Diceros bicornis minor: one gene and its partner. The protein of the gene in region 1 interacts with the protein of each later gene in a biochemical or structural test. Links are inferred from orthologs where the notes say so. Each region holds a gene or a part of one and is shown on either strand. Other genes may lie near its edges.

Evidence for each region.
Region 2: the proteins of PJA1 (region 1) and NSMCE3 form a complex in vitro, tested with the Homo sapiens proteins (2 studies listed by BioGRID). The link is inferred for Diceros bicornis minor from reciprocal best matches to the Homo sapiens genes PJA1 and NSMCE3.

What each region holds. Positions count from the first base shown.
Region 1 is NC_080781.1:62,653,052-62,661,179, reverse strand, and holds the start of PJA1 (E3 ubiquitin-protein ligase Praja-1), read left to right. Parts: upstream 1-4,536; 5' UTR 4,537-4,620; intron 4,621-6,583; 5' UTR 6,584-6,812; coding exon 6,813-8,128. UniProt on the Homo sapiens protein: Has E2-dependent E3 ubiquitin-protein ligase activity. Ubiquitinates MAGED1 antigen leading to its subsequent degradation by proteasome. May be involved in protein sorting.
Region 2 is NC_080744.1:79,174,352-79,182,763, reverse strand, and holds the start of NSMCE3 (non-structural maintenance of chromosomes element 3 homolog), read left to right. Parts: upstream 1-4,828; 5' UTR 4,829-4,922; coding exon 4,923-5,810; 3' UTR 5,811-8,412. UniProt on the Homo sapiens protein: Component of the SMC5-SMC6 complex, a complex involved in repair of DNA double-strand breaks by homologous recombination. The complex may promote sister chromatid homologous recombination by recruiting the SMC1-SMC3 cohesin complex to double-strand breaks.

The DNA.
Region 1 (8,128 bases):
ACCGCTTCTCCGGCCATGCTGAGGCCGCATCCCACATACAGCAACTAGAAGGATGTGCAACTATAACATACAACTATCCACTGGGGCTTTGGGGAAAAAAAAGGAGGAGGATTGGCAATAGATGTTAGCTCAGAGCCGGTCTTCCTCAGCAAAAAGAGGAGGATTAGCATGGATGTTAGCTCAGGGCTGATCTTCCTCACACACACACACAAAAAAAAATAAAAATAAAAAAAGACCCAACTATATGTTTTCTACAAGAAACCCATTTTAGATATAAAGACACAGATTAAAAGTAAATGGATAGAGGAAGAGATACATGCTAACATTAATAAAAAGAAAGCTGGAGTAGCTATGTTAATTCCAGACAAAGCAGATTTCAGAACAAGGAAAATTATCAGGGATAAATAGGGGCATTACATAATGATAAAAGGGGTCAATTCTCCAAGAAGACGTAACAGTCCTTAATGTGTATGCACCTGACAAAAAGGCATCAAAATACATGAGGCAAAAATGGGTAGGACTACAAGGAAAAATAGATGAATCCACTATTATAGTTGGAGACTTCAACACCCCTCCATCAATAATTGACAAATCCAGCAGGCACAAAATCAGTAAGGCTATGGTTGAACTGAATAGCACCATCAATCACCTGGATCTAATTGATATTTATAGATTACTTCATTCAACAACAGCAGAATACACTTTCTTCTCAAGCTCACATGGAATATTCACCAAGATAGACCACATCCTGGGCCAGAAAATACACCTTAACAAATTTAAAAGAATAGATATTATACAAAGTGTGCTCTCAGACCACAGTGGAATTAAATTAGAAATCAATAACGGAAAGATAGCTGGAAAATTCCCAAATATTTGGAGATTAAACAACACATTTCTAAATAACATATGGGTTAAGAAGAAGTCTTAAGAGAAATTGAAAAAATATTTTGAAATAAGTGAAAATGAAACTATAACAACAAAATTTGTGGGATGCAGTAAAAGCAGTGCTTAGAGGGAAATTTATAACATTGAATACATATATTAGAAAAGAAGAAGGATCTAAAATCAATAATCTAAGCTTCCACCTTAGGAAACTAGAAAAAGAAAAGCAAATTAAATCCAAAGTGAGCAGAGGAAAATAACAAAAGAACAGAAATAAATGAAATTGAAAACAGAACAATAGAGAATATCAACAAAACCAAAAGCTGATTCTTTGAAAAGATCAATAAGATTGGTAAGTCTTTAGCCAGGCTCACCACGAAAAAAAGAGAGTAGAGCCAGCCCTGATGCTCTAGTGGTTAAAGTTTGGTGCTCTTACTGCTTTGGCAGCCCAGGTTTATTTCCTGGTAGTGGAACCACACCACCCGTCTATCAGTTGCCATGCTGTGGCAGGGGCTCACATTGAAGAACTAGAATGACTTACAACTAGGATATACAACTGTGCTCTAGGGCTTTGGGGAGGAAAATAAAAGAGGAAGATTGGCAACAGATGTTAGCTCAGGGTGAATCTTTCCCTGCCAAAAAAAAAAAAAAAAGATACTGCCCCTACTTAAAAAAAGAAAAAGAAAAAGAAAAGAAAAAAGAGAATAGACAAAATTACGAATAACAGAAATGAAAGAGGAGCCATTACTACTGATCTCACGGACATCAAAAGGATAATAAAGACATATTATGACCAACTCCATGCCTACAAATTTGATAACTTAGATGAAATGGACAAATTCTGTGGCTCGCTTTCAACGACTAGGATATGGCAAAAGTGTTGGGATGTCACTTCTGAGCTTAAGTCATAAAAGGACTATGTCTTCCATCTTAGGTGCTCTTTGGCTGTTTCTCTCACCGACTGCCATGTTGTGAGGAGACTCAGGAAGCCCGTGGATAGGCCCACATGACAAGGAATTGAAGCCTGACAGCAACCACATGAGTGAGCTTGCAAGTGGATTTTCTGAGCCTGCCAACAGCCAAGTAAAAGAGCTTTGATGTGGACCTCACTCCTCAATTAAGCCTGCAAATGAAACTGCAGCCCCAGATGACAGTTGGAGTGCAACTTCATGAGAGACTTCGAACCAGAGGCACCCAGGTAAGCCGTGCATAGATTCCTAACCCACAGAAACTCTGATGTAATAAATCTTTGTTTTTTTAAGCTGCTAAGTTTTGGGGCAATTTGTTACACAGCAATAGATAACTACTATATACCCTTTGACCCAGAAACTTCACTTCAATGTACATACACTAGAGCAATTTTTTCCAATCTTTTTCACGTCAGAGCATATGTTAAAATGCTAATAATTGTGCCAGTTCATTGGGATGAACAGACAGTCTGCTCTTAGCCAGAGGCAACAGTCCCCAGGGCAGCAGCTGAGTGAAGCCAGGCCCATCTTCCTGGAGAGCTAAGGGCATTGATATGTCAGAATACCCATTACCCAGTTGGGAAGGTTTGCCCCAGAGAAACTCATCCATATGGGCACGAGGAGCCATGTGCTAGGATGTTCATTAAATCCTCATTTATAATTGCACAAAACAGAAACAACCCAAGTCTATCAGCAGGGAAAGAGATAAAGAAATTGGATAATTGATGCAACAGATGTCCATATAATATATTATAGTAATACTATATTGGAAAATTAATACAATAGTATTCAGCAGTTAAAATGCATGACCTAGATCTAAATGTATCAAATTGCTAAATTTCAAAAAAAATAAGTGAAAATTTAAGTTGCAAAAGAATGTATTTATTATAATAACATTTAAATAATTTAAAATACATAAAAGAATAATGTGTATTGGTTATGGATATATACATATGTAGAAAAAGAAAAACACGGACAAGAAGGAAACTTCTAAACAGTGCTTCTTTTGGGAAAAGAAGATGAATAGAATAAAGTGAGAGCTTCAACTCTAATATTTTGTTTCAAAAACAGAAGGATCTGAGGATCTGAAGAAAATAAAATTTGCTCACCCTGTGTGACAGGTACATGCAAATATGCATTTTATACTCTGTACTTTTCTGTATGTTTGAAATATTTTTTATAAAAAAATACATCATTTCTTGAGTCCAAAAAATATGTATACATTAGATCAGGCTTGTTCAGTGTGTTGTTCAATCTCTCTATATCCTCGTTTCTTTGCAGTCTATGTGATCTATCTATACCATAACAAGTGCGGTTGAATCTCTCACGATAATTGCAGACTTTTTCATCTCTCTTTACATTTCTAATAATATTTGCCTCATTTATTTTGAAATTACATTGTTTGGCATATAAATTTTAGTGACTATATCTTCTCAGTGAATGAAACAACCTGTTTTGTTCTCTTTAATGCTTTTTACTTTGAGTTTTTGATTTTTCTGATATTAATATTTCTACATGTATCTTTCCTTTCTTCCTTCTTTCCTTCTCTTTTTTTTCCCTAAATTCCTTCCTTCTCCTCTCTCCCTCCCTCCTTTCCTCCCTTTCTTCTTTTCTTCCTTCCTTCCCGCTAGTATTTCACTGGCATATATTTTCTATTCCTATTTCTGCTTTAGGTGAAACTCATATAAACAGCATATAACTGGATTTCTAAAAACGAAATGCTCAAAATGAGAGTTTGCTTTTTTATAGGAGATATTAACCCATAATACATACTGATGTATTTGCATTTATTCCTGCCCTTTGTTTTTTATTTTTTAACATCCTTTCTTGCTGCCTCCCACCCCATTTCTACCCTTTGTTAGACTGAGTTTTTCTCTTTGTTCTACATATTATTTCTTTAATGGTTTGAAAGTTATACAGCCTATTTCTATTCTATTGTTACCCTTAAAATTTCTTGTTCTTCTATTTTACATTTTATTTCCAGTCAGAACAAAACTTTGTTATTGTTGTGAACATAGATGTCTTGACATTCAATGTAAATATTAGAGATAACATTGTAAAGTGCGATTTATAAAAAAGAGTTCAGAGTTTAAGAAAATTGTATAACTCTAAAAGGCACAGCAATTCAATGACCAGAATGTGAACCCGTGTGTGCTTCATGATCGATCATTTCTTTTCATTTCAGTCAAGAAACTTGATTTTGCGATTAACAGCAACAATTCTACTGTAAACAGTTCAATTTGCTTCAACCACCAGGTTAAAAAAATTTAAGCTTACTGCAACCCTAAATACAGTTTCACATTTTTAATACTTCCAGTACAAGCCATACCACATAACATAGGATATGATATAGTCATATAATTACTTTCACATTGGAATTAATCAGAAAGAATTGCAGATTTCATTTTACTGGAAAAAAAAAAACCGAGAACAGAAGGGAATATGGCTAAATGTTTAACATTTGTTAAAGCTGGCTGTTGGTTACATTTTTCGCTGTCCTTTTCTGTATCCTTGACGATTTCATCATTTAAAATGAAATAATGCTTTCGGGCCCTCCTTGATTTGTCGAGAGCGGCTGCCACCCCCGCCACATCAAGGGGGCGGGCCCCAGCCGACGCCACAACCACTTCCGCCGCCGCAGTCGCCGCCCGCCCCACTGCTGTCTGGCGGGGGAGGAGCTGGAGACCCGGGAGCAGCGGCTCTGGCGGTCGTGGCGGTCGGAGGTCTGAGAGCTCTGTTCCTCTCGAGAGCGTACGGGGGTCGGGACTGGGTGAGTGAAAGGCGGTTTCTTTCCTCGATTTATTCAGACGCGGCAGTGGGACGACTGGCCGGGCATGGGCGGGTGGCTGGGCACGGAGGCGAGAATTGTGGGGGGCTCTATAGGACAGATTTTCAGGCTCGCCCCTCGGGAAGGGGTGGGGCGGACGCGGGACCTGACTGCAGAGTGAGGCCTGTGTCCTCCATTGGCCTGTTTTGGGGCTCCATCCTCCGTCCTCCAGCCCCTTTCGTGTGGCACGGCCCCCACTTGAATGGCTTTAATCGCTATATGAGAGGGGAGTGGTGTCACGGCCCTCTCCCACCTCTCTCTGCCTCTCCTCCCCCCCTTCCTTCCTCCCTTCTTGGCCCCTTTGCGCAGCACTCCGTGGCCTTTCTTCCCCCATTTTGCAGTTGTTTTGCTGAATGGTAAATTGTTAAGATTTTTAGGTAAATATATTGTTCCCAGGAAAAGAATTGGCAGAAAAACAAATTATTCCCCCGGGAAAACTATATCCACATACGCCCTTTTCTTTCTTTTTTCCCCTTCCCTGTCATATCTGTTTGGTTTGGATCTACCGTTTGGACTGATAACATTTTCCTGTCTCTCACTATGACATTGTGCCGCCCCCACCCCCATGTCTCCAAGTGCGCACATGGGGACACACACACACATGCACGCGTATACACACACATACACACATGCACACACACAGACGCACAGAAACCTTCCATTGCAGCCCCCTCTCCATCTCCCCATACTCAAGGTTGCGATGCATCCCCTCCCCCGCGCATGCATGGACACACACACGCACACACACCCTTTCACACATTGTCATACCGTCCAGTGCCTTTCCCTACCTCTCACTTCCTGTCCCATACACACTTCCAGAAGCGGCCCCCTCCTCCTTCTGCCTCTTCATGCTCTGGAGAACACACACACACACACACACACTCACACACTCACCCTCCCTCTGGGACCATCTTATCCCCTGCCTGCCACATACACACATAAGGATATCCTTCAATTGCTGGCTCCTCTTTCATATGCTGCTTACATACATATGCCCCCACACACACTTGTTCACACACCCCTCTTAAATGCTCCCCTCTCCTGTTCCCTGTCTGCTACTTGTATGCACAGACAGCCCTCCTTTGCTGGCCCCTGTGGTGCACACACTCACATAAATCCTTTTCCAGGGACGCCACCCCCTTCCCTGCTAGCCACATTCATGCATACAGACCTTCTTTGATTGCTGGCCCCTGTTCCGCCTGCCCGCCACAAGCACATCCCTCTCCAGTGCTGTCCTCATCGATGCATTTGCTCATATTGACATTTCTCCATTGTTGCCTCCCATTTTGATGAACACACACACAAACTCATGGACGTCCCTGTCCAATGCCACCGTACCCTTCCTTGCCTGCCACAGATGCATAAGCACAGGCATCCCTGCATAGAGTTCCAGCTGCCATACATACAACACCACACACACATTCTCTCTCTCATACTCACACACACCTCTCTCCTCTAAAGCCACCCCATCCACACCTGTCATTTTCATACATTCAGAATGGGTCTCATTCTGACACTCACACCTCTTCCCAATGTCACTGTCACATGCTCCTTCCCCCTACAAACACAGACATCTCTCCACTGCATGATTGCTGGTCCCCCTTCCACCTGCTTCTCTCCTCCTGCTAGACACATAGGCACTCCTGCACACATGGTGATCTATATTTTCCACCCTTTTCCAATTTGCATTTCTCCTGTATGTCTGCAGGGCTCCAAAAAACGCAGACACCCCGTAAAAAACCTGCAGCAGCCTTTCTTCTTCCCATGTTGGCACAATTCCACAGTACTTCACCCCCCTTCCAAGCATCCAGTCACCCCCCGTCTTCTGTCAGATTCTCCTCTAAGTGTGGCTTTCCTGCAAATCCAGTTTTGTAATCATTTTGCCAACATTAAAAATGTGTTCCAGGTCTACACCTGACAGTCACTGGAATGCTACTCCAGGCCTTAGAAGAAAGTGAAACTAATTTAAAAGGCCCCTTATTCTTTCTGTTACCTGCCTGCTGAAGTGAAAGTAAATCTCCCTGCTCCTTTATTCTGAACTGATTTGACTTTCCCATCTCCAAAGTGTGTACAGGGAGCAGGAGCCTTTCCACTCGAGCCCCAAGCTGTATTGGAAACCCTCCTAAGTCAGAGCAATGGGTCAGGAATCTAGCAAGCCTGTATGGCCCAAGCCAGCAGGAGGGTATCAGTCCAACACAGGCAGGAGGTATGGAAGGAGGCATGCTTATGTCAGTTTCAGGCCGTCCACGAGCCAGCAGGAAAGAATTTCCAGTCAGAGAAAGACGACATCTGAAGTCTCAATGCACAGATCAGCCCCCAGTCAAACCACCAAGAGGAGCCGCTCGCCATTTTCCACCACTCGTCGTAGTTGGGACGACAGTGAGAGCTCGGGAACCAGCCTGAATGTTGACAATGAGGACTACACCAGGTACCCGCCACGCGAGTACAGGGCTTCGGGTAGCAGAAGAGGAATGGCTTATGGACATGTTGACTCTTTCGGGGCAGATGATAGTGAGGAGGAGGGGGCTGGGCCTGTTGAGCGAGCACCAGTGAGAGGGAAAACTGGCAAGTTTAAAGATGATAAGCTGTATGACCCAGAGAAAGGGGTGAGGTCTCTGACTGGGGTGCCCCCACAGTTCTCTAGTTTTAACCGTGATGTGAGAGAGGAGCTTGACAAGTTAGACCCAGCCCCTGCAGCAAGATGCTCTGCTAGCCGAGCTGAGTTTCTGCAGCAAAATAGCATGGTCTCTCAGACACCTGCTGATGAAGGCAAAGTGGCTACAAATGGTAATAGCCTGGAGCGGGAGAGACAGGAGCAGAATTTGCCTGCACGTCCGGGCAGGGCTCCTGTGAGTATTTGTGGTGGTGGGGAAAACACCCCAAAGGGTGCAGAGGAACCAGTGGTGAGGCCCAAAATCAGAAATCTGGCAAGTCCAAACTGTGTGAAACCAAAAATGTTTTTTGATACTGATGATGATGATGATATGCCACACAGTACTTCCAGGTGGAGGGATACTGCCAACACTGATGACGGCCACTCGGATAGCCTAGCCAAAAGAGGCAGAGGCGAGAGTTCAAGTGGCTACTCTGAGCCTAAGTACCCTGAAGACAAGAGGGAAGCCAGGAATGACCAAGTGAAGCCAGAAAAGGTGCCGAGACGGCGACGAACCATGGCCGACCCTGACTTCTGGACGTACAGCGATGATTACTACAAATATTTTGGTGAAGACTCTGACAGTGACAAAGAGTGGACTGCTGCTCTGCGTCGGAAATATCGAGGTCGGGAGCAAAATCTGTCATCCAGTGGTGAAAGCTGGGAGACTCTGCCAGGGAGAGAAGAGCATGAACCTGAGCAAGCCAGAGTGAATGCCAGTGCCAGTGCCAGCGCCAGCCCCAGTGCTAGTGCCAGTGCTGGCAGCAATGAACTTGAAGAAGTTCGAGGACCATCTCT
Region 2 (8,412 bases), on another chromosome or scaffold:
TTTTATTCTTATCCCTTTCAATTTGCTCAGTTTTCTCAAAACCTGTCTGCCTTGTCCCTCTCTGGGTATTAGCTTTGTCTGTTCTCCTTCTTGGTGCCCTTGCCCTGTGAGGGTACCTCTGCGTTAGGCTAAAGTGAAGTCTAGAAGGAAAGAATGAGGTTTCTGTCTTCTTGCATGGTGTGGCCAGTGGGGAGATGCTTTGGATCAAACATGGAGAACACAGCTACTCTAGAATAGGAGATGCTTTAAAGTGTGTTCTAGGTTGTCTGAAACTCCTTTCTGCAGAGGTAGATCACTACGTTAGATCATATGTACATTCTATATGGAAAAACAATCTGTCACGATCTCTTTCTTGCCCTTATTGCCTGCAACTAAAATCGTAAACTTCTCAACCACAGAACACTGCCAAGAAACATAACAAAAATGTCAAATTAGATTCAGATCACCTCTCGTTACATTCAAATATCCTTATAGGTAATATTAACCTCGTCTAGCTCCATTCCTTTGAAATAATCTCATTCCTTCGTACCCTCTTTTCCCCTGCATAATGGGTTTGAATACTGTTTAGCTAGAATTTGTGCAGTTTCAAGTGAGAGAAAACAACTTCCAGCAGATAAAGCAAAAGGAGATTTTACTTGCTCCAGTAACTAGTTATCCCCAGGAGTTCTACCTTGAACTCAGGATCCAGGGATTCAGATGAAAGCATTAGGACTGTATCCCCATCTCTTAGAGCTCGTTTGAGTTGGCTTCACCGTGAGGCAGGTTATTCCCAAGCAAAGGCGAAGGTGGCTAGGCTCATATCACCCTTCAGCTTGTTCGCTCAGAGGAAAGAGAACCTGTAAGAACTCCTGAAAGGATGATGATTGGACTTCCGAACCGGTCACTGTGGCTGGCCTGAATCACGTGCACCCAGGAAAAGGCGGCAGAGCCTTACCAAGGTCTCCCAGAGATGGAAAGAGGCAGTTCCTAAAGGAAAAGGATGCAGAACAAGGAGCAAAAACAAGCAAATAAAAAGAAACACACTGGCCACTACAGAGACGTTATGTGTTGGTAATTTTATAACTTAATAGGCCTTAATGATTTTCATAAGTAAAAGGCCCTGGGTAACGGAAGACTTATATTTCTTGAAAAGAGAGTCTAAGAAGAGGCTTCTGGACCAAATGGCTACAATGCTTGGAAAGAGCTATCTCCTCAAGCCCCACCTCTCCACCCCTTTTCCACCAGCCAAGGAAAGCTCTGTTGCCATTTAATCAAAGTATTCTTTCATGAGAGACTAAGTGTTATTAGGTAGTCCTATCACATAATTTAACCAGGATGCATCTTTGTTATGTATGAGTGGACACAAGGGATTTTATTGCAAGCATTAAAATATCTGGACTGTTTTTCCTGCTATCTACCCACCAAAATAGTATCCCGGGCCCCTCGCCAACTACTTTGCTCGCCTGCTGCACACTGTCCCACATTCTTCCACTGGAAAAGGCAGCAAAGCTGCTCATATATGGTGGCTGCATGCTTTTATCATTGCTTTTCTTCCCGCAACGACCTTACCTGCTTTTTGCGCTAGGTTGCTGTCAGAAAATTTAAAACCTGTCTCTGGTTCTGCAAGAAATGCCAGTGAATGAAGAGGAGAATCCAGTAGAAGATAAAGATGATTAGAGCTTCTTGGCAGGCATTTGCTACCAAGGAGATGAAATAAAGCAATTAATTACTGAGAGACATCTAAAGAGCAATTGGTAGTAGGCATTTCTTTGTTCAATGCATCTGAAATCTTAGCTAGCTTAGCTTTTGCCTCAAAGAATTATTATTTTTTTTTCTTTTGGGTCTAGTAATAAAAGTATTAAGGTCATTAACATAAAGTGTTTGAAAATGTTTTTCTTTTTTTAGCCACTTGTCTTTATTACTTCACTGGCTGAAAAAAAGTCACGAAAGTCATATTCAGATCACACTGAATTTACTGAAAACTTGAATTGTATAACTGCTATAGCATGGTTTCACTGTGAAGTTAAAATTCCTTGAGAATATATTTTTATCTGCCAAGAAAGATTTCATTTTTGAAAGAAAATAACTTTAATAGCATCTTGATATATTTCTTTCCAGACTTTTTTCTGATTTTTGTGTGTACTTGTGTTTTACTGCAGTAAACATCTTTCTACATACAGCTTTGTATAGTCCTCAAGTATTTTCCTTAACATAAACCCCCTGGAAAGAAGCACATGGTTATCAACTACCCTGTCCCAGCCCTGTGCTAGGACTTGGCAAACCTATCTCACTTAGTCCCCTGAAGCCTGGATGAGTAATCTTGGAAACAGAAAGCAGTGTCAGTAGCTTTCTGGATGTCATACAGGTTTCTAATATAGGTCCATCTGACTCCCAGATCTTTACCTTTTCAAGGACACCATATCTACCTTTTCAAGGACACCATATCTATGTTCTCTCTGCAATCAGCAGATGGTTAGGAGCGGTCTCTGGAGGCAGACTGCCTTAGTTCAGATCAGATCTACCACTTACTTGCTGTAGGACCTCAAAACTGTTAACCTTCTTCTCTGTGCCTCAGTTTCTTCATTTATGAGAAGAGAAACAGTAAATGCACAGGCCTCATAGGGTTGTTGTGGGATTAAATGAAGTAATACATGAAGACCACTTAGAATAGGGTCTGACCCACTTACCTTTGAAATAATCAGTAGCTGTTGTTTATATTTATTATTGTTAGTGTTATTATTACCACCATCATCACAACAATTTTTCCTCAAACTCCATGGCTTCCTGTGTCAATCTAAGGTGGAGGTGGGTCTGGGTGACTTCTCCATGCAATGCCTAAACTTCATTCTAATACTGTTATTTTATGTCTGTATTTTCTCACCTGCATTCTTCTGGACACAGCAGAGAGAGGTGTTTCAATACGTAAAACTGGTATCTTTTCTCACTCATTTTGAGTATGACAATCTGCTATCTGGGTAAAAGATGCAGCTGATGGACACTGCTGATTTTCACACAGTGAGTCACAGGGGTAGCTTGACCTGTGGGGCTACTTGGTAATTTAAGTGAATACCTTAGCAAGAAAAAACACTGAAAAACCAGCCCAACTGTTGACAATGGCTTTCATCTTATTTTCCATTTTTGTTATCTCTTGGTTGCTGAGTTTTTTTTTTACTCGGGGTTCAACATTATCTTTCTGGAGGGACTTTTTGCAGAATTCTTGATCACAGGAGGTTTCTTTGAACTTGAGTCCAAATTTTAATTTGCAAGGAAACTGAAGCAGATGAATTTTCTTATTGTAAAAAAATGAATGCCTCCATGATATATTTGTTTTTCTTAGTAGGCTTCAGTCATTAAGATTGATGCTTGGGGATTTATTGTTAGATCTTGTGTGGAACAGAAAGTTATTACTCATAGTTTACCAGATTTTAGCATACTTGCATCACAACACGGCATATCATTTTACATTTAGTATTGCAGTCAGGGCCATTATCAGATTGCATTTTCATATTGAATTACAAACAAAAATTTTATGCTACTAACATTTAATGAAATTTTAATAACATTGTGTTTTGGTGCTATTATTCAAATAATGTGTTTTGAATTGCTTCCTTTGAATATATTTGCATTAAAGAGGAACTCAATTTGATTTGGTTCTTTGAAGAGTTTACCCACTTTCTGGGTAGCTTTAAAAAGACAGAGGGAAATTCAGTTTCTTCTTTACAAGTCAGTAAATAGAAAAGCAACACATTTGCTAAGATCTGTAAAAATAGTGGCAGCAGATTGCAGATGGTTTGAGTTAATGAAATGACTCACGTTGGCTATTAGAGTTGCACAATAAAAAATATATATACAAAGTGCACACATCACAGATTATGAGGGATGATACTCCTGGGTTCTCTTTTCTTTCTCATTGCGCCCTAAGGCTGATATATTAAGAATTAAGAAATTTAAGAGATTCACATTATTGCAATTCTTGATCAGTGATGCCCAAAATTAAATGGTAATCTCTTGAGAGAGCACATTTCTGTTTGTAGCATTCTTCTTACCCATTTCTGCTACAATCGTAGTTGTGGGCCCAAAGGCAGTTTACATGAGCATGTGCTTTCCAAAGACAGAATCATTTGACCAAGCAAAAACCCCTCACTGAAACGTTCTTTATGTGGCGGTTTTGTTGTAGTTGTCTAACTGATGGAGTTTAATGCATAGAATAGAAATACTGAAAGAGTGAAAAGATGGGAAAAGTCCTGCTTGCAAGGCAAGCTCTCCCTTTACCACATTCGTTTTTAATGGTCACTTAGAGGCATTAGAGAAAGTAACTGGTGGTAAACGCTTAAGAGCTTAAATTTAAGGGAGGGGAGGGAGTAGCGAAGGCAAAGCCAACTAGGAGTCCTCCAGGTCTTTCACTCTTTTTATGTCCAGTTTTGTGCAGAAAGAAATGATTCTGCTTCACTTTCACGCTCTCACCTTCCTCTTCACCTTTTTTCTCCCACAATTCATCCTGAGTTCCCTCCATCTAAAAATATTCCCGATTTTAAACTTCTTTAATACTCACTTTCTATAGTACCTGCCTGAGCCTGTGCGGTCCTGAACTCAGCCGCACACTCATTTAGGAGTTTTGGCTCCTGTTCTCTATTTGTAGGGTTTAGTAAGGACGCCACCTTTAATCTAATGTGACCCACAGGACTGCGCAGACACGCCTACTGCTTTCCGCCAACGCGCGGCGGCCGCCCCACTCCCCGACGCAACGCGTAGCCTCCGTGACGCAGCGCGCAGCCTCCGTGACGCAGCGCGCGCCCCCTCCGGCCCCGCCCAGGGCCGCCCCGACGTGCCGCGCGCCGACCCACAATCCCCGCCGTGCACTGTTCTCCCGCCGCCACCGTCCGTTAGGGCGAGCGCCCCGCCTGCGGAGTCGGCGCTGGCGCCAGGCTCCCGCCGCCGGTGACATGCTGCAGAAACCGAGGAGCCGGGGCCGCCCCAGCGCCCAGGCCGAGAGGGTGAGGGACGGGGGCCGCGGCGGAGACGGCCGGGCCCCGAGAGGCGGCGTCGCCGAGGAGGCCCCGAGCACCTCCCGCGGGGCGGGCGGCTCGCAGGAAGTCCGCAGCACCTCGTCGCAGGGCGCCCGCGGGGCCGAGGCCTCCCCCGCGGTGGGGCCCCGCTCGCAGAAGCAGCTGGAGCTGAAGGTGGCCGAGCTGGTGCAGTTCCTGCTGATTAAGGACCAGAAGAAGATCCCGATCAAGCGGACGGACATCCTGAAGCACGTCGTCGGGGACTACAAGGACATCTTCGCGGACCTCCTGAAACTGGCCGCGCAGCGCCTCGAGTACGTCTTCGGGTACAAGCTGGTGGAGCTGGAACCCAAGAGCAACTCCTACATCCTCATCAACACGCTGGAACCCGTGGAGGAGGATGCCGAGGTGAGAGGCGACCAGGGCACGCCCACCACCGGCCTGCTGATGATTGTGCTGGGGCTCATCTTCATGAAGGGCAACACCATCAAGGAGACCGAGGTCTGGGACTTCCTGCGTCGTCTAGGGGTGTACCCCACAAAGAAGCATTTGATTTTTGGGGACCCAAAGAAACTCATTACTGAAGACTTTGTGCGGCAGCGTTACCTGGAGTACCGGCGGATACCCCACACTGATCCTGTGGACTATGAATTCCAGTGGGGCCCGCGAACCAACCTGGAGACCAGCAAGATGAAAGTTCTTAAGTTTGTGGCCAAAGTCCATAATCAAGACCCCAGGGACTGGCCAGCGCAGTACTGTGAGGCTCTGGCAGATGAGGAGGCCAGGGCCAGGCCTGGGACCGGTGGCCCAGCCCCCTCCTCTTGAAATCTGAAATAGATTCACGGGGACTCCTGGGGGAAGGGTCAGAGGCACAGTGCGGAGGCCTGAGAGTTGGGGAGGGGGAGCATATTTCTCTAACGCTTAAATGTGTGTAGCTTTACGATGTGTTTGCAAACTTTTGTTCATATTGTAAATTATTTGGTTCCAAATTTTCACTTATAAAAATATTAGGGGAGGATTCATTTTGTTTTGATTTGTTTGACTGACTGTATTTTTTGGTATAAAAATTTTGCTAGCTTTATAAAATTAATTGGGAAACTTTGTACCATGATCTGGAACAGATATTTAAGAAAGAACACATCAGTAAATTGCTTTGGTGTCTAGAAAATAAAAGCGAAGTGGCTATTATCTGGCCTCTTAACTACCAACTACCCCAGTTTGTAAAGAAAAATAAAAATCTTTATAAATTAAAAATAAAGATGTAATTGCCTATATTCTTTTTTATCTTAGCATAGCTATTTTATATTTATGTACTTTATACGTATATATAAGCATTATGCCTTGTTCTAAGCAATGTATGGCATTTTCTCTGAATAACAATTTTTTTACATTCATAATTACTACTCAGCTCTGTGGCTGACTGTTTATTTCCATTTAGGTTTTTTTCTACTATAGTTACAGTAAATACTATATCTTTGAGGTAGTTAAGCATTCTGCATCTTTTAAATTGTGAGTCATGAGAAATTAGTTTCAGGATTCAAAACCAGCGTCTTGAAAAAAATGATTTTTGCCATGTATTATTAAGCTAAATAGTGTTTTATAGAAGTTACCTTACTTTTATATGTGTGTGTGCATATTGGATCATGATGTAAAATATATTTCTTACTTTGGGTTATAAAAAAGTTGAGAAAACTTTTATTGATTAATCATGCCTACTTGGAAATGAGACCACCTGGGTTCAGACCCTGGCCCCACGTAACTAGCTATATGAATTTTGGCGCGTTACTTAACTTGCATACAGACGTTTCCTCACCTGTAAAATGGGCTGATGATGCCTGTATTATGTGTAGTACTGTGATTATTAGATATGGAAGTATATGTAAAGTTCTTGGCACAGTGCCTGCTGTGGAGGATTTTAGGTGTTACTTTGTTCCTTAAAATTTTTTTAAATTTGTTTTTTATTCTCCTTGATCTGGAGTAGTTAATTTTGTTAAAGGATTTCTTTCATTATGTTGTTGTAAATCATTCCTACAATTGGAATTACTGGTTCAAAAATTATGACAATATTCTTCTAGTCTGCCTCTATTGTATGGGTTAATGGGGAAACATAACTCATGATACATGGTGAGTATAGCCCACATAAAATAGTAAGAGCAGGAAAGTTAGAGGACGATCTCCCCTGGGCTTTGAGAGGTCCTTGTAGTACAGTGAATAGGATACGGTTTTTGGGGTTGTCTGACAAACTGAATTATGGCTCAGAAATATGGCTATGTCAGCATGGTGATTTGGGGTAGGTTTTAAGCTCTCTGAATCTCAATTTCTTTATCTGTAAAATGGGAAAAATAATAACTATATGATAGTTTGTTATATGGATTAAATGAGCCCAAAGAAAAGAGCTTATTGTCTTCTCTCGTATTCTTCCACAGCCTCTGGCAAAATGCTGTTTATATACAGAGTTTCAACAAATAATTATTCAGTGGGTGAGTAAGTATAATTGTTTGGGGGGCAGGTACTGCAAATTAACCATGAAATGAGGTAAATACTTTAGCTCAAAAAAGAAGTGTGGACTTGGTCAACACTGGACTAGATGTCATCTAGAAGAGTCTATGGTGGGTGTGTGGTCCATGGAGGAATGTGATAGGTTACTGGGTTTTACGTCATTCTGTTGAATTGAAATTTGCATTTATTTCATCACTGGAGTATAGTGTGTCCTTGAATGTGTTTCTGGTTTGCTTTTTATTTCCACATATAAATTACCTTCTGGCTAAGCATCCTGCTTACTGGTCCCCTTACCTCACTGACTGCTTTTCCCTCTGGTGTGTTCTAATACTGGCCTTTTTTGCATCTGTATGGTGAAAGTTATCGGTACCCCGCACCCATTATCAGTTACATCTGAGGCACATATCTTCTGCCACACTTTTCTCATAAATATGTTAACAATTTACCATCAATGAATTATTACTTTGTTTTAGATTTTAAAATATAAAACATTACAGACCAGATCTTGCCCTTATCTTTTCTTCTCACCCTTACCAGAGATGTCGAAAGTTTGTGAATATCGTGCTATTGTATGATTTAATAACTTTTACTGTGTACCTGAACAATATAGAGTAGTGGTTTCTGAGCTTTTATAACTTATATAAGTAGTAGTATACCGTATCCTTTTGCAACTTGCTGTTTTCACTCACCATTGTTTTTGAGATTCAGCTCCGTAGATCTTATGAAAATTTGGCCTTTCCAGTCATTCTCTGGGTATGTAGTGATAATTTATTGTAGTATTAACTTGCACCTCTTGCTTACTAGAGACATTAAGCATCTTTTGCTTTTTTTTTTTTTGCCATCAGTTTTTATATGTTAGACTTTTAGACTTTTTCTGTTTTTATCGATTTGTAAGATTTCTTTATATGTTCTGCATGGTAATCATTAT